Lepisosteus oculatus: one gene and its partners. The protein of the gene in region 1 purifies or fractionates together with the protein of each later gene. This does not show direct contact. Links are inferred from orthologs where the notes say so. Each region holds a gene or a part of one and is shown on either strand. Other genes may lie near its edges.

Region 1 (7,218 bases):
TCCAGACACACAGACCCCAGCAGGAGAGCAGGGGCTCCTCACAGGTAGAGGAGACCAGTCCCTGCGCTGTGAGGGGCTCTCCAGACACACAGACCCCAGCAGGAGAGCAGGGGCTCCTCACAGGTAGAGGAGACCAGTCCCTGCGCTGTGAGGGGCTCTCCACACACACACAGACCCCAGCAGGAGAGCAGGGGCTCCTCACAGGTAGAGGAGACCAGTCCCTGCGCTGTGAGGGGCTCTCCAGACACACAGACCCCAGCAGGAGAGCAGGGGCTCCTCACAGGTAGAGGAGATCAGTCCCTGCGCTGTGAGGGGCTCTCCAGACACACAGACCCCAGCAGGAGAGCAGGGGCTCCTCACAGGTAGAGGCCAGTCCCTGCGCTGTGAGGGGCTCTCCAGACACACAGACCCCAGCAGGAGAGCAGGGGCTCCTCACAGGTAGAGGAGATCAGTCCCTGCGCTGTGAGGGGCTCTCCAGACACACAGACCCCAGCAGGAGAGCAGGGGCTCCTCACAGGTAGAGGAGACCAGTCCCTGCGCTGTGAGGGGCTCTCCAGACACACAGACCCCAACAGGAGAGCAGGGGCTCCTCACAGGTAGAGGAGACCAGTCCCTGCGCTGTGAGGGGCTCTCCAGACACACAGACCCCAGCAGGAGAGCAGGGGCTCCTCACAGGTAGAGGAGACCAGTCCCTGTGCTGTGAGGGGCTCTCCAGACACACAGACCCCAGCAGGAGAGCAGGGGCTCCTCACAGGTAGAGACCAGTCCCTGCGCTGTGAGAGGCTCTCCAGACACACAGACCCCAGCAGGAGAGCAGGGGCTCCTCACAGGTAGAGGAGATCAGTCCCTGCGCTGTGAGGGGCTCTCCAGACACACAGACCCCAGCAGGAGAGCAGGGGCTCCTCACAGGTAGAGGAGACCAGTCCCTGTGCTGTGAGGGGCTCTCCAGACACACAGACCCCAGCAGGAGAGCAGGGGCTCCTCACAGTTAGAGGAGACCAGTCCCTGCGCTGTGAGAGGCTCTCCAGACACACAGACCCCAGCAGGAGAGCAGGGGCTCCTCACAGGTAGAGGAGATCAGTCCCTGCGCTGTGAGGGGCTCTCCAGACACACAGACCCCAGCAGGAGAGCAGGGGCTCCTCACAGGTAGAGGAGACCAGTCCCTGCACTGAGAGGGGCTCTCCAGACACACAGACCCCAGCAGGAGAGCAGGGGCTCCTCACAGGTAGAGACCAGTCCCTGCGCTGTGAGGGGCTCTCCAGACACACAGACCCCAGCAGGAGAGCAGGGGCTCCTCACAGGTAGAGGAGACCAGTCCCTGCGCTGTGAGGGGCTCTCCAGACACACAGACCCCAGCAGGAGAGCAGGGGCTCCTCACAGGTAGAGGAGACCAGTCCCTGCGCTGTGAGGGGCTCTCCAGACACACAGACCCCAGCAGGAGAGCAGGGGCTCCTCACAGGTAGAGGAGACCAGTCCCTGCGCCGTGAGGGGCTCTCCAGACACACAGACCCCAGCAGGAGAGCAGGGGCTCCTCACAGGTAGAGGAGACCAGTCCCTGCGCTGTGAGGGGCTCTCCAGACACACAGACCCCAGCAGGAGAGCAGGGGCTCCTCACAGGTAGAGGAGACCAGTCCCTGCGCTGTGAGGGGCTCTCCAGACACACAGACCCCAGAAACACTGAACACTCACTAGGAATGGGTGAGACTTGTGGGTGAGTGAATGGGTGAGACCCAGGAAGACGGGCCGCAGGAACTTTGTTTACTTTGTCCCGGCTGGAGAAATCTGCTCTGCAGGGCAGGCGAGTCAAGACGACGGATCAACACAGCCCCAGTCCCCGACCACTGCACGGCAGATCCCCCGTCACACACCCTGCTGCCCGGCTCCTCTCTCTCTCGTCGGAACCACCGACGTTTGTCCAGAAAACGGAACTTGCGGTGCAGGACAGTCCCTGAATCCTTATAATCGCCCCCATCTCCCTGGACCAGTACCGGTACCGGCCCGCCCGTCCACCCCCCGGTAAACAACACCGCGTCTCACAGACAGCCGGGCGGCAGCGGCTCGTCCGGGTTCGGCTGCAGGTCCAGTCTCGGCCCGGTCCAGTCCCGGCGGCGGGACACACACACACACGTACACGCGCGCGTTCCCGCGCTCTCCCGCCCCGGGGCTCCGCGAGCCGGGCGGCCTCACGGCGCCATCTTGGAGCGACTCCGCTCGGCCTCCTCGCCGCCTCCGCCCGGCCTGTCCCCCCGCCGGGGCCCGGCTCGCCGCCGCGGCCCGGCCGGGGGCCCAGGGCGCTCCGCTCCGCTCCAGCAGCGGCCCTCCAGCCCGGCGGCCCGGCCCGGCCCGGGAGCGGGGAGCGACTCGACCCCCCCCGGGCCCGGCGCCTCCGCCGCCGCCGCCAGCCCCCCCAATACACACAAACCGGCTCAGAAACCCCTCGGCCCCCGGGGAGCGGCCTTACCTCGGCGTCCAGGGGCCGGCAGGGCAGCAGCAGCAGCAGCACCGATAGCAGCGGACTCGTCTCTGTCCGGGAGTCGGGAGGCCGGTCGTGCGCAGATCCGCGTCTGTCTCCCCGCTGCGCTCGGCCGGCTGGAGCTCCGCTTCCTCTCCGCCCTCGGGGACGCGCGGCGGCGGCGGCGGCGGCGCGCACGCAGGGCTTCCGGTGTCGGGAGCGAGGCTCGCTCCCGGGCACGGGCACTCGTCCGGGGACGCGCAAGAGCAGGGATTATTGGCGGCGGCGGCCGACGGGCTGTGGTTTCAGCGGCTCCTCCGCCTCCTCCCTCTTATATGCGCTCTGGTCCTCGACGCCACCGCCGGCAGCCCCCCGGCTCCTGTTGAAATTGCTAACAGCCCGCAGCAGCGCTGGTTAGGGAACGAGGTCGCTCATTCGAGGTTCAGGGGTTCGGGCCTGAAGCGCCACCTGAACCCCATTCCTTAATAAGTCACGGAGCACGCAGGAAAATCGAGGTTTTTTTTTTTGTTTTGCTTAAGAAAAGCCAGGGGTGTTCATCCTTACAGCCCTGTTAGTATTAACTAGTTAGCCCTTCTTCCATTTTGGTAAAAATTAAAAACAACAACAACAACAACAATAACACGTTAAAAAAAAAGTTTTTTCTCCCCGCTCTTGCTCGCACGGGCGAGAACAACCACAAGATGGCGCCGGAGCGCCAACCTCAAGGCGCGAGCCCCGTGCCGGGCAGGGGGCAGGAAATGACGCAACAAGGGCGGTGGAGGGGGGGGGGACGCCCGCCGCGGCTGGGATGACGTCAGCCCGCCCGAAAGGCGCCGGAGCTGAGCCTCAGCCCCTCTGCAGGCGAGGAGGCGGTGCTGACACCCCTGGGGTACAGAGTGGGGTACAAACTGGAGGGGTCTCCTCTCTCTGCAGGCGAGGAGGCGGTGCTGACACCCCTGGGGTACAGAGTGGGGTACAAACTGGAGGGGTCTCCTCTCTCTGCAGGCGAGGAGGCGGTGCTGACACCCCTGGGGTACAGAGTGGGGTACAAACTGGAGCGAGGGGGGTCTGTCAAGGGAGAGGCTGGACAGATGGACACACACTCCCCTGCGGGCCAGCAGGCACAAAGCCCTTTGCTGGTGCTGGCGCAGAAAGAACGAGCCTGGCAGGTGATCAACTGCTCGTTCCACACTCCCACCACTCTCTGTGCAAGGACAGGCTCAGTGACCACAGCCTGGACACACACACACTGGACACAGGCAGACCTGGCTGTCCAGAGAGGACAGGCTCAGAGACACAGCCTGGACACACACACTGGACACAGGCAGACCTGGCTGTCCAGAGAGGACAGGCTCAGAGACACAGCCTGGACACACACACACTGGACACAGGCAGACCTGGCTGTCCAGAGAGGACAGGCTCAGAGACACAGCCTGGACACACACACTGGACACAGGCAGACCTGGCTGTCCAGAGAGGACGGGCTCAGTGACACAGCCTGGACACACACACTGGACACAGGCAGACCTGGCTGTCCAGAGAGGACGGGCTCAGTGACACAGCCTGGACACACACACTGGACACAGGCAGACCTGGCTGTCCAGAGAGGACAGGCTCAGAGACACAGCCTGGACACACACACTGGACACAGGCAGACCTGGCTGCCCAGAGAGGACAGGCTCAGTGACCACAGCCTGGACACACACACTGGACACAGGCAGACCTGACTGTCCAGAGAGGACAGGCTCAGAGACCACAGCCTGGACACACACACTGGACACAGGCAGACCTGGCTGTCCAGAGAGGACAGGCTCAGAGACACAGCCTGGACACACACACTGGACACAGGCAGACCTGGCTGCCCAGAGAGGACAGGCTCAGAGACACAGCCTGGACACAGGCAGACCTGGCTGTCCAGAGAGGACAGGCTCAGAGACACAGCCTGGAAATACACACTGGACACAGGCAGACCTGGCTGTCCAGAGAGGAAATAATAATCAACAACATCAACATCATCACTTTATTAACCCTTCACAATTTCTTGCATTAGGAATGATCTTTTCACATACCCCAGCTTGCTCTCCATGAGACACACAGACAGAGAGAGAGCCTGGGGTCAGAGCGCAGGGTCAGCCATTGTACAGTGCCCCTGGAGCAGTTGGGGTGAAGGGCCTCGCTCAGGAGCCTAACAGAGTAGGATTCCTCTGCCGGCTACAGGATTTTGTTGTAACAGAAGAAATAAGGTTCTTGATCCCGAGATGAAGTGAAACAGATGAGTTTATTGCATGCAAGGAACAATAAAGCCGAAGTCTTGTTTCCCGCAAGAAACAACAAAACCGAAGTATTGTTCTCCGTATTGTTACAAACTTTTGGGTTATATAGTGTCTTCTTCTCCGTTTCTGACGTCACTCGGTCTGATGGTAAAGAGGGGGGTTCATGGTATTTGGCCAGTTTACGATGTTCTGGGCAAATGGTCAGTTTAACATTACACCCAGGGGGGTTCCTAGCTGGCATCTGCACTCCTTATCAGTGAACCCCCTTTCCTGCCATAAACCCCAGCTTGTGACTTGGAAGTCTAAACCCCCTACAGAAAAGATTAAATTCAAACCCCCGTCTTCACATCTTTCTTCATTCCCCCCTTATAAAATATGGCATACGTCAGTGTAGCCTATTTTATACATACAATGTCAGGGCAGATCTTTCCTTTCTTGGCGAACAGGTATGTATTGCCATGACATTGTACGTTCCACGGTTATGGCAAGATGTGATACATGTTTTTGTGCACGTGATGATTACAATTATACATATAAACAATACTACTCCTACAGATAAACACTATAAAAAGGTTCCACCCCAGGCCCCAAACACAGACTTTACCCAAAACCCAATTCCCCAATTTTCAGTATAATAGTCCTGATATTTCTGTCCCTCATTGTAAATGTGTTGGGCCAGATCTGAGATGTGCTCAGAATTATCAGGAATATATGTGCAGCATTCAGTGCCAATTACTGCACAAGTTCCTCCTTGGGCCGCCAGTACATAATCTAAAGCTAGTCGGTTCTGCATGGCCACTGTTCTGAGGGCTACCATCTCATCATTAACAGCCTTCAGACTAGATGAGGTAGACTTTGCTAATTCTTCTAAAGTCGAGGCCATTTGAATTAACTCTCGACTCAGAAAGTTCATGCCGGCTTGTGGAAATATTATACCTAAATAATATTCCCAATCAGCCAATTTTCTTTGTGGTCTGTGGTTAGGTCCGAAGGGGCTGTGGGTTTGAACACGGATATGAGGAACCACATATCCTAAATAACATGAGCCAGACCACTGGGCTGGCAGCCATGGGTAGGCTCGTTTTCCACAAATGAAATATGTTCCGTTTGGCGCTCCCCATGCCTCTGAAAATAAGAAGCTTATACCGAATTGTGGGGTGTGCCGATCCCATCCTGGAATTTGGGAGGTAGAGGTGGATATATTTGCAGCGCTGGTAAGGTTGCAACGACTCCATCCAACCAAGTGCAGACCAATTAGTGTGCTGAAAACATATGTTTCCCTCACGTTCCTTATTGAGAGTCAGGTATGGTGGTGTATGGCTTCTGTTATATTTAGGAGCGTAAGAGCCTGTGAAACTCGTGGGCTCTAAGCCTCGCTCCTGTAGATACTGTAATGTTGTGCAGGTTAAAGTCGTGTTATGGCAACCCCCATAGTTTGTCATATTAAAATCTCCTAAATTATCCCTCCAAATGATCATGCCTATGACTTCCTCGCGACGCCAAGTAATGGCTCCCATAGGAAGTCCTCCCTGTACATATTTGGGTAATGCGGCACACACCCAGCAGGCACTTTGGTTGGTTTTCTTAGCTGTCAGATAGGAGAGGCCTAAAAAGGAATTAATTCCATGTTCTCCTTTGTGGGAGAGATGATCATGAATCCCTGCGGAACATAGTCCTACAGCAACAATTATTGTTATAAACAGAAATGATTTCATTCTGAGTCTGTAAATGGGGATGAGGCTCGTCGGCAGTGTGGCGCGTGGATCCAGCGATCTTTTCCTTCCACTCGAACCGCAGACTCGGTTGTCAACAGGATCTGGATCCCACCTGGGCTGGAGAACCTGTGAAGGAAATTTCCTGATCCACACCCACTCTCCTGGGATGAGCTTGTGCCCTCCTTCAGGTGGTGGTCCCCACGCCTCCAGGACCTGCTCGCGGGCTCCTTGGGTGGCCTCTGTCAGCTACTTGCAATAATACAAAGGAATGGTTGATCCCTCTGAGGAAACCCCAGTCTCAGCACCTGTAAGAGAACTTGTTTCAAATTATTAAAGGCGGCTTTTGCTGCAGGAACCAAGGCAATCTTGTCCTTGTACTGCACTCCCCCCTTAAGCAGATCTGTTAAGAGTTGTGCTCACCCTGCAAAAAACATATTACCCAGGCCCTGTTAAAATTTCACAATGCTAGACACAAAAGGGCCTTATCATAACTGCTTCTATTAGACACTCTAAAGCTGAAGCAACTCAGACTTGTGGGTTTCCTCGTCAGGGGAAGCACTCAGAATACCATCAACATACTGAGTGATCACAGCCAGTTGAAGCCACGTGATACCCTGTTCTGCATAGTCATTCTTTGTAATGCATAATATTTCAACCCAATAGATCTGGGATCAAACCACCCATTAAAATCTGGTACTCGGCAAGTAAAACTTGCTGTCCCAATACTCCTGTGGCCTCCTGCCATCTTCCCATATACATTGCTCTATAGTACACTGTT
Region 2 (7,135 bases), on another chromosome or scaffold:
TGTTCCAGAACAGAAAGTTTCTCAAAGTAGGAGGGACCTAATTTGGCTCCATTTGAATTTGTGCCTGTCAAAATTAAACTAACAGCTACATCTGAAAATGACAATATTATATTTGAAACAGATCAAAATGAATGACTGCAAGCTGCCAATGCCAACAAAGCACTGTAGCAGTGAAAAATTATTTAAAAAACACATGCTCGCTAGAGAAGGCAGGAACTACTCTCTACTAGAAGCTGAGAATGAAACTCAGTAGGCACAGAGCAGCACAGTATTCTGACACTTGATTAGAAATCAGTAGAGTTTCCAGTTCAGGAGAGAAGATGCTTTGTGTTAAACATTACAGGCACATTTTGGGTGAAAGTTAACCAGATACAATAATCTATCATGCCATGGTTTATTTATACAGTATGTACTTCAATAAGGGTCCAATAACAAAAGGATAAAGGCAATATTAATTCACACTGACTTACCTTTAGGAAGTCAATCCTAAGGGTGAGGTAAAACCAGGGCCAGCCTTGTTTGCCTTGCTCTCCTACAAACAAAAGATCTGACAGCCAACTGCTGTCAGCACTCATAAGTTAAGACCAGAGATGGGTAAAGACTGCATATTGCTACTAACCGTCCTTTCTCTGGTGTATTTCTAAACTCTAGTCTCCCTTCTTTGTGGGTGAGCTTTAGATTTTGTCTTCGGTTTTTGATGGGAATGCCCGTTTATGCTCACAAGGATGTCTTGAGAGAAACCTTCTCACGAAGGGTGCTTAGCAAGCTCTTCACTGCACACAGTCAGTCGCCTCCGAACATGTTCACATTGAGATAGCTTACAACACAGACAGCGCTTGGCAGCTGAGGGACGTTGTCGGCATGCCCCTGTCTGTCAGTTGGGTTCCAATTAAATTGCTCAGATGGCATGACTCTAGACACGAAAAATGCCTCCAGCTCCAATCAGCTTTGAGTGACATAGTTGTGCTGGACTGAACGCAATAACTCTGGAATGATGCAGTGTACCAGAAAGAGGCTGCCTAATTACTTGGGCACAACCTTAACCTTTGCAGTGCAATGCTCCCTGCTGACGCATTCGGCATATAAAAGAAAAGGACCAGCTGGATAAAAATGTTTTTTTTTTAAATAAAATGTAAATTAATACTACATAGAGGAATGGGCTAACAGAAGCATTGCCTTTGACATGGTATGATGACCCAGAAAAAAAACAAACTGAACATAAACAACAACAAGAGAATATAAGGCAAGTTCAGATCAAACAGATGCCACAGGACTCATCCATGTCCAGTTGATTTGATGCATGGACAATCCAGACATGTAATAGTTGCTACAGTAGTTAGGAGGGAAAAAACACTCCACAACTAATCCTCTGATTACATTGATCCTCATGACTGCATCACATTTCTTCTTCAAGTGTCTTGCCGTTTCGTTTTAAATAATTCAGTGTTATGTGCCATACTTAAAAGCTTTCATGTTTGCTGTAAAACTCTTCCTTCTCCCTTTGTTCTGAGGTTGTCTTTCTTCCAAGGCTTTCCTCTCTGGAACCTTTAAAAATAATTCTCCACTGCCCTCCTTGTGCTACAGTATATGCCTTTTTTACAATGTATAGAGCAGGTTCAGAGTTTCCATAACATGATAATTTAAGACTAAATTAAGGTTATAGACCACATACTGTAAATAGATACCAAACGGCAGTACCTAGTGAGAATGATGAGAATACGACGCAATCCAGAGAACTCCGCTCTTGCAGACAGACTTGTTTAGCATAGTGTATTGACTTCAGCAAGCACTAAACTGAAGATACTGCTGAGTTCAGAAAACATTTAGGATCATTTACACATGACCAGAGCTGGGCAGTGTTAACCTTTACTACCAAACAGTCAGAAATTACAATGTGTAACTATACATGCAGTAGTGAAGAAATGGTGGCATAGTGGTTAGTATTGCTGCCTCAGGGATCCAGGATAAATTCTGGTTGCATGCCATCTGCAAGTTCATGTGGATTTTCAACAGGTGCCCCAGTGTACTCCCACCTCCCCTCGACATGTTGGCTAGGATTGATTGGCTACACTAAATTCTCAATTTATGGTGCCGTGCTAAGGAGAGTGCAACAAGTACTGGTTAAGTGACTATAGAAAGAGAGAACCAAACGAGCTCAGTGGGCTCTCATTTGTGACCTTTTCTGCTGTGTTTAATTGACTGTTACCAATGTTGCAAGTGCTACCTTTAAATCCAGGTTAGGTGTTTTATGACAAGGTCCATGGTCCTTTGAATGGTCCACCAGTTCTAGTTGGGCCATGAGTCACTGGATATGTACCTACAGTACAAATAAAAATTACACTAAATCTGTTTGAGAGTGATGTCTCAATTGACTGATTGAAGTGATTATGTGCATAAAATTAAGTTAATACTCAAGATCATTGACTCATCAGCCTGCATCTTATCCTAGTTATTATGCCTTTTATATGTATTTATACAGTATGTAATACATGACACCCCTATCTCACGGGAATCATCAGAGATACCACTCTTTTAAAATATTGTCCAACTTCACTAATTTAAAGTCATAGATTATCATCAGGCAATATAAAATACAGATTTTAAAGAAGAAAACATAAATTAAATCAAGAGGGTACCCACCACGACATATTTGCTTAATAATGGCTAAAGCACTTTTCTCTAAGGATTAATATATAAGTAGTTCAGGTGGGTAGCTGCATCAGCATGCGCAATCTGCAAAGGAGCAAGTAATAGGTTTATTCCATGCTGAAAAGAGAAGAGAGAAAACACAACACTTCGGCAGTGGAGCCTTCTTCAGGTGTCATCATGTGCCACACTTTACACCCGAAGAAGACTCCACTGGCGAAACGTTGTGTTTTCTCTCTTCTCTTTTCAGCATGGAATAAACCTATTACTTGATCCTTAATATTGTAACGCAACGGGGGCTCCGGCGGGCGCCCTTGCCGCATTAGGTCGGCCCCTGCACCGTCCGGGGCTCGAACCCGGGACTTCCGCGTCTCTCTGCAGCGACCTAGCCCCGTGAGCCAAAGAGAGATCTCTCCACAGCCCAGTAGCTGTGGTCCTGCTATCACAGGGAAGGGCGGTGACGTCACCCGCTCTGGTACGCCGGCTCTTACACAGCGCCTGTCGGCCGTAAGCGTTACACTCTCCCCCGCTTAAATCGCCGTCCCCGGCGAAGGGCTATCCCATCCCACTTCTGACACCAATGTAACGCAACGGGGGCTCCGGCGGGCGCCCTTGCCGCATTAGGTCGGCCCCTGCACCGTCCGGGGCTCGAACCCGGGACTTCCGCGTCTCTCTGCAGCGACCTAGCCCCGTGAGCCAAAGAGAGATCTCTCCACAGCCCAGTAGCTGTGGTCCTGCTATCACAGGGAAGGGCGGTGACGTCACCCGCTCTGGTACGCCGGCTCTTACACAGCGCCTGTCGGCCGTAAGCGTTACAATATACAAGTGTTTCATTCCTTGTTACAAATACAGCATATCACCCATTATTAACAAAATAGTTTACCTATTATGATTGTGATCATATTCAAAATGTACGGTGAGTAGGGACACCTTTCAATGAATACACATATGGACGTTTAAATTATAAGAAAAGCTTTGAAGATCACTAAAACAATTTAATAAAATAATACACATGGCATTGCTCTTTTAAAATTACTTGTATGCCTTTTTAAATAACGTTTTTTACAAGAATAAAAAATATTAATAATGATGGAAACGAAGTAATCACGAGTGTAATCTACCATCAACAAAAACAGGTAGATGTTAATCCCATGATGAAAAGTATACGAGTTGACGCACATCCACAGGTTCAGCCCACTACCAGCTACAGCGATGAACTCGATACTCGATTTACTTTTCCTGCTCCGCCTTTGCTCGTAGCTCGATTGTTCTGACTCTCCGCACACGCACCGGTTCTTTTTCTGTCTGTACCGGGGAGCAAAACCACTTGAAATATGGCTCTTCACGTACCTAAAGCTCCGGGCTTTGCCCAGATGTTAAAGGATGGTGCAAAGGTAAAGAACATTTAGTCATCTGTTTTGAAGATTAACCTATGTATGACCTTTTATGTCCAATTTTGTATCAATTGCAAGGGAAGTGCGGTTGGACGCTGTGTCATGTGGGACACTTCTAGAAAAAGCCTGTGTAGGCCACAGTTAGATTAGTTCATCCTATTGTGATATATAGCATTCGTTTGCTCGTTTTGTACGGGCTTTTTGAAATTGTAGGTTGTTGTGGCACGAATAACTCGTAAATCATAACTTATTAAACGATCTTGCAGCATATTTGTGTAATCAGTGCCTCTTTAAGCATTTTCTGTACTGTAGCTAAATGCAGTAAGACGAGGGACATGTGCTTTCTAACGGCAGCCGTAGTGGAAATCATTCATTGACGACACTCCGTTTTTACCCATACATGGAGATATTTCGGGAGCTGCCATTCGGTGTTAAAACAGCTCTCGAACAGGAATGTAGCTAAAATCCGTAGTATTATTATTGCTAACGCTTTTGTTCATGGAGGAACAGTTAGTACCAAGCATACGCCAGTTGATTTTCATGAACTGAATTTTCCGAATTCAGACTAATTCGGATTTATAATAGAGAAGGGCTTGTTTTAAAATCGCTAGACGCTTCTGTACTTCAAGTAACAATTGTATATACAACACAAACGTATTCGGCATGATGCTACAGGGCGTTGCCAGGCAAAGTTGCCGTAACTGTTGTCAATTCTACAGCAGTGTCGCGGCAGTAGACTCGAACTCAAAATTGTAATTGAATCTATGGTAAATGCTGGGCTTATTGTTTTATCACTGCTATTTCTGGAAGCATTGTTGTTTAACGTTAATGCAGTCTGATCACAGGTGATAAAGATGGCACAAGCAGTACAAAGCCTAATTTGATTTAAAGTTGTTACTCTATGTAAAATAAATAATTTACAGGAATACATGCCTGCAGCCATACAGTAGTTTGTTTATACACACTTTCATGCAGTTACTCTAGTTCAGGAGACAGCTATCCAAATGTTAACATCAGAAATAATTGCTTGACACATGGCAGATGTGTTCAGGGGGCTGAACTACCTCTGTGTGGAAGTGAACAATATATGCTTAGTACTGTTAGGTCATCATTGGTTCCATAACCTGTTTTAGTGGAATAATTAGGCTCCATGAACACGGCACAGTCTGTATGGAATGTCCCATATACAACAGTATAGACATAGCTCTTATTTGCAGTACTTCCCAAAACAAATATTGTATTGTTAGTAAATGTTATGGTGATGACAGTGAAAGGAGTGGCATTCACAGATGCAGGGCAGACCAGATCAATTTTCAGTTAATCATTAGGCTAGCTGTTTTAAATAAGTTGTTTTATTTTTTAAAACCTGTTCATTTCAGCACTACTCTGGGTTGGAGGAGGCAGTCTTCCGAAACATTCAGGCCTGCAAAGAGCTGGCACAGACCACACGGACAGCCTACGGTCCAAATGGTAGGTCTGGACTGTGCTTGTCAATATCAGATGTTTGATCAGTGCCCAATACAATATTACAATAGAGGTTGAGTCTATTTTTTTATGAGATTCTGTGATTTAAGACCTACATGGATAATGAATAATTTTGAAATGTTTTTTAAATAAGAGATGTGACTGGGTGTACTACTACTGATTTGATATTTTCAGGATGTGTGTTTAATGCTATAAGCCTACAGAAAAGTACACATAAATATTAATCTATAGGAATGCAGAATTCTGTTTTTTAATATCTGGGCCTTTTTACTTCTTTTCAGGCATGAATAAAATGGTCATCAACCACTTGGAAAAGCTCTTTGTCACTAATGATGCTGCAACTATTCTGCGAGAACTTGAGGTATTTAGTTCATTTTTGAACCGCCTTAATTCCTAATTGTTTAACTAGTGTTTTGTGAGAAAAGCCGAAGACAGAGATCAGCAGAAACTTTTAATTTCTTAATGATGGATCTCCAACTCTGGTTATGTGGAACCCAGTCCAAAAGTTTTTATGGGTAATATTCCTAAAGGTTTGGAACAATTTATCTATGATCAATTAACAAGGCGGTTGACTTAATTAATTTAGATATCATTTTGAACAAAATCAGAATATCTTTTAGCCTGTAAGGACCAGTATTCCTTTTTTTAAACCTTTACTGTCTATGTAGTACTTCACCCTGTGGCTTAAATATTTTGTACTCTAGCAGAGAGTGTGCTACTGCTGTCTCCATCATTGTATGTCAGGCTAGGAATACGTAAAATAATATATGAATAAAATAGGTAGTCTTCATGCTATAGTTGTAAAGGCAGAGGAGTTGTAATGGTGAAATCTAAAAAAAGACAGGGATAGTACCCATGAACTGTAGAATAGTGCCCATCAATAAGACAAGTGCCCAAACCGACCCAAATAATTATAGATCAATTAGTCTGAATTCTATTACATGTAAGGTTATGGAATTAGTTATTAGAATTAACCTAGAGGATTACCTATATGGAATATAGAGTCCTTTGAACAAGTATCAGAATTAATGAAACACATGGAGCATATAATATTTAGATTGGTAAATTTAGATTGTCAAAAAGCTTTTGATAAAAGTCCCCATTGCAGGAGAAAGGTATTCAGTGACATGTGTACAGTGTGAGAATTGGAGAAGAAACAAGGTGCATAAGATCTTTTTTTTGTTTGTTTGTGCACCCACCAGGTTCAGCACCCTGCAGCTAAAATGATCGTCATGGCTTCCCACATGCAAGAGCAGGAGGTTGGGGATGGGACCAACTTTGTTCTGGTGTTTGCTGGGGCGCTGCTGGAACTGGCAGAAGAGCTTCTCAGAATGGGACTGTCAGTGTCTGAGGTGAGCCTGTAGAATCACTCACTTTCCACTTCAGTTTAGGACGTGAAGTACACATGTAATACTAACATGTAATAAGAAAATAATTTCTTATTTTCATTCCTCTGTTTTGTGGCCTGGGGCTTGTGAGCTGTTTGGGGTTTTGTTTAAAACTGTTCCGCTGTATAGGAGTACAAGGAATTTAATGTCTTTTTCAATGTAGGTGATTGAAGGATATGAAATGGGATGCAAGAAAGCTCTGGAAATACTTCCAGACTGTGT
Region 3 (7,754 bases), on another chromosome or scaffold:
ATGGTCTGTAGCTCTGATTAAACAGCTTCCATGGCTACTGCTGGCAGAGGGGACGACAAACAACACCCAGGCAATTTCCATCCTTCAAGTAGAAACGGGCTTTATTAATGCCCTCCCTTTCCCCCAAAGGCGAGTGACTTGTGAACTAATGTTTATCTTAACGCCTGTCTTTACTGAAACAGCAAAACGTGAAATCATTTCACGGGCAGGAGAATAAAAAGGAAACGTAATTAATTCGATGTGGGGGAAAAAACGCAACAGCTGAAGTGCATTCATCAAAATGGGACACTAAACTAGAGGAAGACGGCGCATGTGTGAATACATGTCATTGTGCTGAGAATTCACGCTTTCCAACATTAAAGTTCAACTTGCAGCGCCTTTCACTGCCGATCTCTGGATGCTGGCTCTCTCCTGTGCCCCCAGTAGCAGGAGCTTGGTTCCTGACACTCTGGGGTTGCCATGGTAACACCGAGTTCAAGCGAGAGATGGCTCAGGAATGAGGCTAAACCTCTGTAGCTTTAGCGTTGCGCACTAGTCCCTGGCTCAGACCTAGTCTTAATTTCTCCAAAGAACTGACTGAAATGAGGAGAGTCTAATGTCGAACCAAGACAGGCAGCAATTTTAAGTAGTCACCTATAGTTTTATGCACCAGGCCTTGACTAGATTAGTTAAAAACCTGGGCAGTTTTTTTTTTACTTTAGATCCCTTCAGAAGAAATGCCTCTCAACGAGACAAGGCTCCTACTATGATAAATAATGCTAATTAGCTCAACGTGAGGAATTCTTAAGAGCCCCGAGAGCACTTATTAGGAAACTGCTTTTTAGGCTGGGGAATGAAGAACTGTCCTTCTCTGTGAGGAGACCCACTGGGAAATGGGAGCCAGCAAGAGCAGAGACCTTTTCTTTTTATTCTATATGATTTTCTTCGCGTGACTGAGGTCTTCAGCAAACTGGAAACCAGGAATGATAAAGAAATATCAAATGAAACCATTTTGCAATTTTACTTTGGAAAGATGGGGGATGGAGAGACAGGAGAAAGGCCGCAGAGAACAGCTCGTCTGCCCAGCCCCCCCACCCGGTCCCACCCCCCTCGCCCTTTTGAACCGGCATCCTGTTGGACTCACCGTATCTGTCCCTGGCGATCGTGAAACTCTGCACGCGGCAGGACCACCCCAGGGCTGGAGTGGATCACCACAGGCATCCGGTACTCCAGGTAGGCAGTCTGGAGCCACCAGTCCGAGAGCTGCAGGGAGAGACACACACACAATCAGGCCCCCCCGCGCACAGTTACAGTCCGATATCTCTCTGCACACCAGCTCACAAACAGTCACAGCTAGTCTTTCGTACAGGCAGAGCAGAACCAGAACTCGGTTCGCCCTTGATCTCGGTTCTGGCCCGGCGTGTGGTAGAATGTCCTACTCTTGTTACGACTGCCAGAGAACAGACCGGAGCGCCGAAGGGATGTGCACCATGAGAGACGCAGAAAGCACGAAGCGACTGACCCTGCAGTCCCCGAGAACGTGCTACTTATAAGCCCTGATATCTTAGAGTCGTTCACCTCTGAGCTTACCCCCAGTTAAAACGAAATAAAGAACTGCATCAGAAAAGCTGAGCCAGGAGGCTTTTTTAATTTCATTCATCCAAAGATATCTGCTACAACACAAAAACTACATGTGCTGTGCAAGATCTGAAAACCTGCATCATGCCACTGTTCGACAGGGAAGCCTGAAATCCCTCTACATCCATCAGTTCATTATCAGAGATGACCAGAAAGCCGATTATTCCTGGTGAGTGTCGGCGCAGCCTAGGGGGCAGGAGACAGGACTACACCCTGGACTGGCCCACCACAGGGCAGACACACGTGTACATACAGACGCGCACACTGATGCACACATTGACGAGCACACTGACGCACACACATGTACATACAGACGCACATATTGATGCGCACACACATGCACAAACATATGCACAGACAATTCAAGGAAACCCCCGACCCAGCCAGCGCATCTCTGGAAGGAGGAGGAAACGGAGGCTAACAGTTTAGCGTTATTAAACTTGCGACTTATCGAACGCCTGGACTTCACCCGTCTGAAACGAGGGAAGACGGGAGGACAGAGGGCAATGCTTCGAGGCCTGCTCAGGACGTCCAGCTGCACTGACCCAGTTCTCCATCTTGCGGGCGCGGCGCTCCAGGCCCCTCTGCAGCCTCTCGCCCACGCCCCCGGGCCGCTGGAAGTCCTCGACCAGGCCGCGGGTGTGCTCCAGCTCCTCGGCGCTCACGACGGGCCGCAGGGCCAGCAGGTAGCGCTCCAGGGTCTGCCGCAGGGGCGGCACCGGCAGCTTGGGGAGCCCCTCCTGGTGCGCCAGGTACCGGCCGGGGATCCGGGTCACCGACACGGGACTCACCAGGGCCGCGGGCTTCCACGCGGCCTGCTTAGCCTGCAAAAAAAAAATTCCATTCCATTCAATTCAATTCAATTACTTTTAATATAGCGCCTTTCACAACAAGGTGGCCCCAAGGTGCTTAACAAAGCCGTGCGACGGTACATAACGTCGTAATACAGAAAGAGAAGAAGCCAGAAGACAACGGAGGAGAGGAACCAAGACCTCCTCTGGAAGGAGAACAACACCCCCTCTGGGGGGTCAAAGGTTAACCGGCTGCCCAACCCCAAAAACCAAGTTATGGGGGTGACAGTCCAGTTTCCCCACCCAGAGGCGAGACCCTCCCCCCTCCCCGTTAGAATCCCGGTTCCTCCAGGGAGATAGCAGCTGTTTCACTGCCGGGGGGGATTTTATTTTCAAGAGGACTTTGCCACACGCTCGCAGAAGAAATCCCGACGTCGGCCCCGGATTATACATTAAACACTCGCCCTCTGGTCTTGCGTGTCCCCATTTGGACTTTGGACAGAGAGTTTCCAGCAATGTGAATCCTCGCTTTTAGCGACGAGGTGCAGAACAGCTCCCACACACACACACACGCACACGGGTGGGCAGGACACCCGACACCGGCGCGAGCCACAGCAGGGTTCGAGACCGAGGACCTGGCACACCGCACGAGAACCATAAATAACATCCCGCAATAAAAAGCGACCCTCCCCCCCTCACAACTTCTAAAAAATAACCTTCACATGTTGTTAACCGCCAGTACAATGCGACGTTTACGACACGTTATTAAACGCACAGTCGTTGGCAACAGCGATATTAAAACGACGCGACACGGAGCTGCATTCAAACTGTACACAACTGCGTGCAACTGTCACTGGGTTCAAGGCACTGGACAAACTCCCTCCTAGAAAGAAGAAAACGACGGGCTAGTCAATTATTACGGAATATTACAGCCTCGAGAACCGCGAAGGCTTCGGTTAAATACCACAAAATGTACCATGTTTGCGAGTTGCGCAGAAAAGTCGGTCTGTCACAGCTCCGAGCCTCTTACAGTGGCGAGTTTTCGCGAGAGACGTTACCGCAGCTACGTTGTAAACACAGAAGAGCTCTTTTTGAGTTTTTCGCCCCTTTCGTTTTCGCTTTATAAAGCCGTTTTCTAGCGCTGAAAACGCCTGGGATAAATTCAAGCGACACAATCCACATTCGGAGATGTACAAAATAAGGAACCCCCCCGCGTGTCTTGCGTGTCGTGCTTACTCACCATCGCTCTGGCTAAAAAACCCAGCATATTTCGCAGAAACGCCCCCAAAGTACAGGAGTGACCGGCTCTCTCTGGCTGTCAAGCTTCAAGGACGGGCAGGTTACAATGCTGCACATTACCCTCCTGTTGATAAAATGTGCCCCGCAAAATCATGGACAGCCAGGGCTCAACTTGCCCCGCAATGACGCAAACATCCGGCGACTTCGCTTCTGTGACGCACAATACATTCGACCTGGAGAGTCGTGTTTTTAAAGCTAACCGTCCAGTATTGAACATTGAACTTTGTTTTTGTCCCTGTTCTAGATAATTTAGCAGATGTAAATGGATATTTCTTTTTTTTGGGGGGGAGGGGGGGGGCGTGATGGGAGATTATTTTAACACAACCAATAATACGATGCACCGTTGCTCTCATAATATTTTACAGAAAAATACAACTTTCTCCACAAAAATATCAGTAACTCAAAAAACATTTCAGGAAGCGTGGAGTAAACACGTGTTCCATGTACGTAAACACCTTTATGAAAATAAGTATTTTATATATTGCATTAATAGATACAAGTGTTGTATGCAAAAATTTAATATGGATTTTTTGCAAAGGGTGCAAAACATTAGTGTAGGTTTAATATATTGAATATCTACTGCATTTCAGCACGTCCTACAACAATTTAAAATAGTGACCCTACAGTGCTGTAACTGTATCTTAGGGCTTCGGAAAGGCCTCGATTTCACTCCTCCGAGACCGTGTTTTTACCCCCGCAAGAACGTGGTTTCCTCTCAGCACACGGTGCTAAAGCGGTGCAGCTCCACTGTTCCTAAAATCTCTGAAGACAGAACGAGGCGACGCCGGCGCTCTGCGGTGCGCTCGCGGCGTGTGACCCAAAACAAAATACGACACGGGTCAAAGGTGAAAGGTCGGCTCGCCCGTGCTGCCTCGCCTCTCTTGGAAACATGGCGGAGACCGAGCAGTCGTCAGGTAAGCTGACGGCTCCGTGCACGCCGGGGGCTGTTGACAGGGAGGCGCGGGGGCCCTTGTCAACCCTCAGTGGGCCGTCCGGAGGAGGGGGGGGGTCTTCAGAAATAAAGGGAAACTTTTAACCCCCTCCTACCACAGAGTAGTACAACTGCAGCCGAAATCGACATCCCGGCGGACTGGGATCTCCTTCGGCTCCGCTCTCGGGTTTTTTTTTTAAACGTTTGGCGGGGGGCACCTTTTCTCATTTCCCCGCCGAGGTGGGGTTTCCGGGGGCTCGCCTGGAAGGGCTGTCGCCCAGGGAGGGTGGAGGGGAGCCCCCCCAGCCCCCGGTTCTCGGGGCTAGGAGCCTGTCGGTACCGCCTGCATCACCGGTCCGGTCTCCGCGGGTGTTGCGGTTTCCTGGGAATGAAAACCGACAGGCCACTATTCGGCTACCTTAAAATGCGTTATTTGTAGCGGTGGCCGGCAAGTAATTTTTTTTAAATCGTTTAGAAACGCGGTACGTACGTTTAGCATCAGCGAGGAAGTGGCCGCTAACCAACGAGGAGAGAGAGAGACTCGGAGCAGCGCCAGCCGCCTTAATTAAAAAAAATAATAATTCACTTTTCACGAACGGCGACTTCTCGTCTCTCTCGGAGCGAGTTTTTCCAACTTTTTTTCTTTGCCCTGTGGTAGAAATGAAGCTAGTTGTTTTACGAGGCAATGAGTTCATCGTTTGCTTGCGAAATCGTGGACCTGGGCTGTATTCTTGAATGAAGTTGGAGGTTTTTAAGACCTAGCTCGTAAACGCACCCCATCACTGTCCTGGACCGACGAGTGTGTCCGCGTTGTGTTTTGGGGATGTGCTGTCAGTGTCCCACCGAGAATGGGAGATAAAAACAGTGGGCACGCCAACAAACGTTAAGAAAAAGCATTTGCGATTGATGTAACTGCCTCAGAAGACTGCTGTTTGACAGTGACACTGTGCTTATTGTGTGCATTGGACAAGGCTGCACCGTATTACACAACAATCATACGTTTGATTTCATCTAGTTCCCTTATTATGTACACAGCTACTGTGCTTGACTTAGTGGCAGGAAGGACCTGCTATTGTGGACGTTTGATAATGTCTAAGCAAAATTTATTACCAGCATTTTGTACAGGAGGTGAGCCTGGGACAAATATCTAGTTTGGAACTAAACGTAGGTGACTTCATGCAACACTCCACTCAAGATGCAGCTCTTTCACGGTTAGGGACGGTTGAGATTGTTTCTGAACGTCGGCAAGTGTTTTGGGTTTTTTTTCCTGGATCAAGGGCTTTGTTTCGCCAAACCAAACCAGAAATCCTGTTGTTTTCTCGCGTGCAGGAGGTGACAGCTGTGGTTTGGTGTCAGAGCTGCAGGGCGCTTTGTGTCTGATTTCCTCTCGCATGCGAGAGACGTGTTGGTCTCCCGATGGGAGAGGGGTGTCTGTTTCTACAGCATCAGGGCTGTATCGGTCTAGCCTGTCTGACAAGCCATGGCTGTTGGATCATGGGCCAGTGGAAACGCTCCCAGGAACAGAATCGGAATAAGATTCCCTTGTCATGACAGTTCTCCACAATAGTTGCTTGCTGAACACTTGTTGTTGGGTTGTTTGGGTCCTCTTATTCCTCTGGTGTGTTTGTGCAGGCCCACGCTCAGTTCCACAAAACACCTTATCCTTGAATTTTCCTTGAGTTTGTACCCGAAATCTCTTTTTGTCTTTCTTGCTCAAGGCAGGTTTGATGCCCGTCGTTGAGTAAAGGTGTCCTGTTTATTTCGTTAGGTGTTCAGTCCTTAAGGTGCTGTATGCTGCCCAGGTCTGATCCCTTGTACCCAGAAGAGGGGAGTGGAGGAACACTGTGTCTGTGGGTCTTCATGAGCTCTACATCTCCAGTGCTGAGTCATGACTTAAGTGATTTGACACCTTGTTTGGACTTCGGTTTATCTTGTGGGGGGGCGTGTCCGTTTCTACAGCGGTCGTAGTTTTTGTTGGATCGGGCTGCATCAGTCTGGTGCCTCGGTTTCCGAAAACGGCTCGCAGCTGGATCCGTGACTGCTGGATCATCCTCTCTGAGTGCCCGCTGCTTGCTGGGGTTCTGAGGACGCAGAGGAGGGAATGGCGCCGGCCCCCTTTCCTCAACTGAGGAGAGAAAACATCACTGCGGCGGTATATTGAAAAAAAAAAAGAAATGATTATTTTGCAGTGGATTCGATGAATCGGGAGGCTGTAGGCTGAACTGCTAGCTGGGGAGGGTGTTGCCCTCACACCAGCACATTGGGAATTCTGGCCCTGTAACTCTAATACCGAGCTGCTCTGCACTTGCCAATCTTGCCCCCCCTTTAATGCATGTCATCGAGCGTGCCAAAATAACAGAAGGAATAATAAAGCTCATATTTTATTTATGCGTGTTGGCGATCAGGTTCGCAGCCCTAAGGGGCATGCATTTTGTGCGTCACCTGCCGTTTTGAAAGCGACTCCGGGGTGGAAGTTACGAGTCCCCCTTTGTTATGCAGCTGCGGTGGACTGGTGTCGCGTTCAGGCTGTGTCCCGCCTTGAGCCCGAGGCTCCGGCTCCACTGCGACCCTGGATTGCATGAAGCAGATCGGAAGTGGGTGGATGGAGGTCGCGTGGCTGACTCGCACTTTGTCAACCTGCCTTTCTTTCTCTGTGCCACGTTCAGCTCGACGCTCTCTTCCACAGACTGCCCCACACTGCCAGACTCTCACTCCTGTACCAGCAGTCAGAGCTCCCTGCGACTCACCACTGGCAGCCCCACTGGAGCTCAGCAGGTGTGAGCCTGGCCAGTACCTGGATGGGAGACCTCCTGGGAAAAACTGAGGTTGCTGCTGGAAGAGGTGTTAGTGGGGCCAGTAGAGGGCGCTCTCCCTGCAGTCTTTGTGGGCCCTAATGCCCCAGCAGAGTGACGGGGATACTATGCTGTAAAAAAAAAAGGCACCGTCCTATGAATGAAACGTAAAACCGAGGTCCTGACTCTCCATGGCAGGGCACTTCTAGAAAAGAGTTGGGGTGTTACCCCGGCATCCTGGCTAAATTTCCCCCTGGCCTTTACCAATCATGGCCTCCTCATAATCCCCGTCTCTGAACTGGCTCCATCACTCTGCTCTCCTGC

What was found.
Region 2: the proteins of ppp4cb (region 1) and cct8 purify together in Homo sapiens (affinity purification with mass spectrometry; 3 studies listed by BioGRID and IntAct, with this or other methods). This does not show direct contact. The link is inferred for Lepisosteus oculatus from reciprocal best matches to the Homo sapiens genes PPP4C and CCT8.
Region 3: the proteins of ppp4cb (region 1) and ptpa purify together in Homo sapiens (affinity purification with mass spectrometry; 3 studies listed by BioGRID and IntAct, with this or other methods). This does not show direct contact. The link is inferred for Lepisosteus oculatus from reciprocal best matches to the Homo sapiens genes PPP4C and PTPA.

What each region holds. Positions count from the first base shown.
Region 1 is NC_090699.1:2,941,064-2,948,281, forward strand, and holds the start of ppp4cb (serine/threonine-protein phosphatase 4 catalytic subunit B), read right to left. Parts: upstream 3,062-7,218; 5' UTR 2,462-3,061; intron 1-2,461. UniProt on the Homo sapiens protein: Protein phosphatase that is involved in many processes such as microtubule organization at centrosomes, maturation of spliceosomal snRNPs, apoptosis, DNA repair, tumor necrosis factor (TNF)-alpha signaling, activation of c-Jun N-terminal kinase MAPK8, regulation of histone acetylation, DNA damage checkpoint signaling, NF-kappa-B activation and cell migration.
Region 2 is NC_090700.1:19,415,845-19,422,979, reverse strand, and holds the start of cct8 (T-complex protein 1 subunit theta), read left to right. Parts: upstream 1-3,894; 5' UTR 3,895-3,980; coding exon 3,981-4,040; intron 4,041-5,419; coding exon 5,420-5,510; intron 5,511-5,806; coding exon 5,807-5,886; intron 5,887-6,727; coding exon 6,728-6,877; intron 6,878-7,076; coding exon 7,077-7,135. UniProt on the Homo sapiens protein: Component of the chaperonin-containing T-complex (TRiC), a molecular chaperone complex that assists the folding of actin, tubulin and other proteins upon ATP hydrolysis.
Region 3 is NC_090719.1:2,588,347-2,596,100, forward strand, and holds the start of ptpa (serine/threonine-protein phosphatase 2A activator), read left to right. Parts: upstream 1-4,513; 5' UTR 4,514-4,596; coding exon 4,597-4,621; intron 4,622-7,754. Other genes in the region: crata (carnitine O-acetyltransferase), read right to left, coding at 1,124-1,242, 2,163-2,441, 3,649-3,675. UniProt on the Homo sapiens protein: PPIases accelerate the folding of proteins. It catalyzes the cis-trans isomerization of proline imidic peptide bonds in oligopeptides. Acts as a regulatory subunit for serine/threonine-protein phosphatase 2A (PP2A).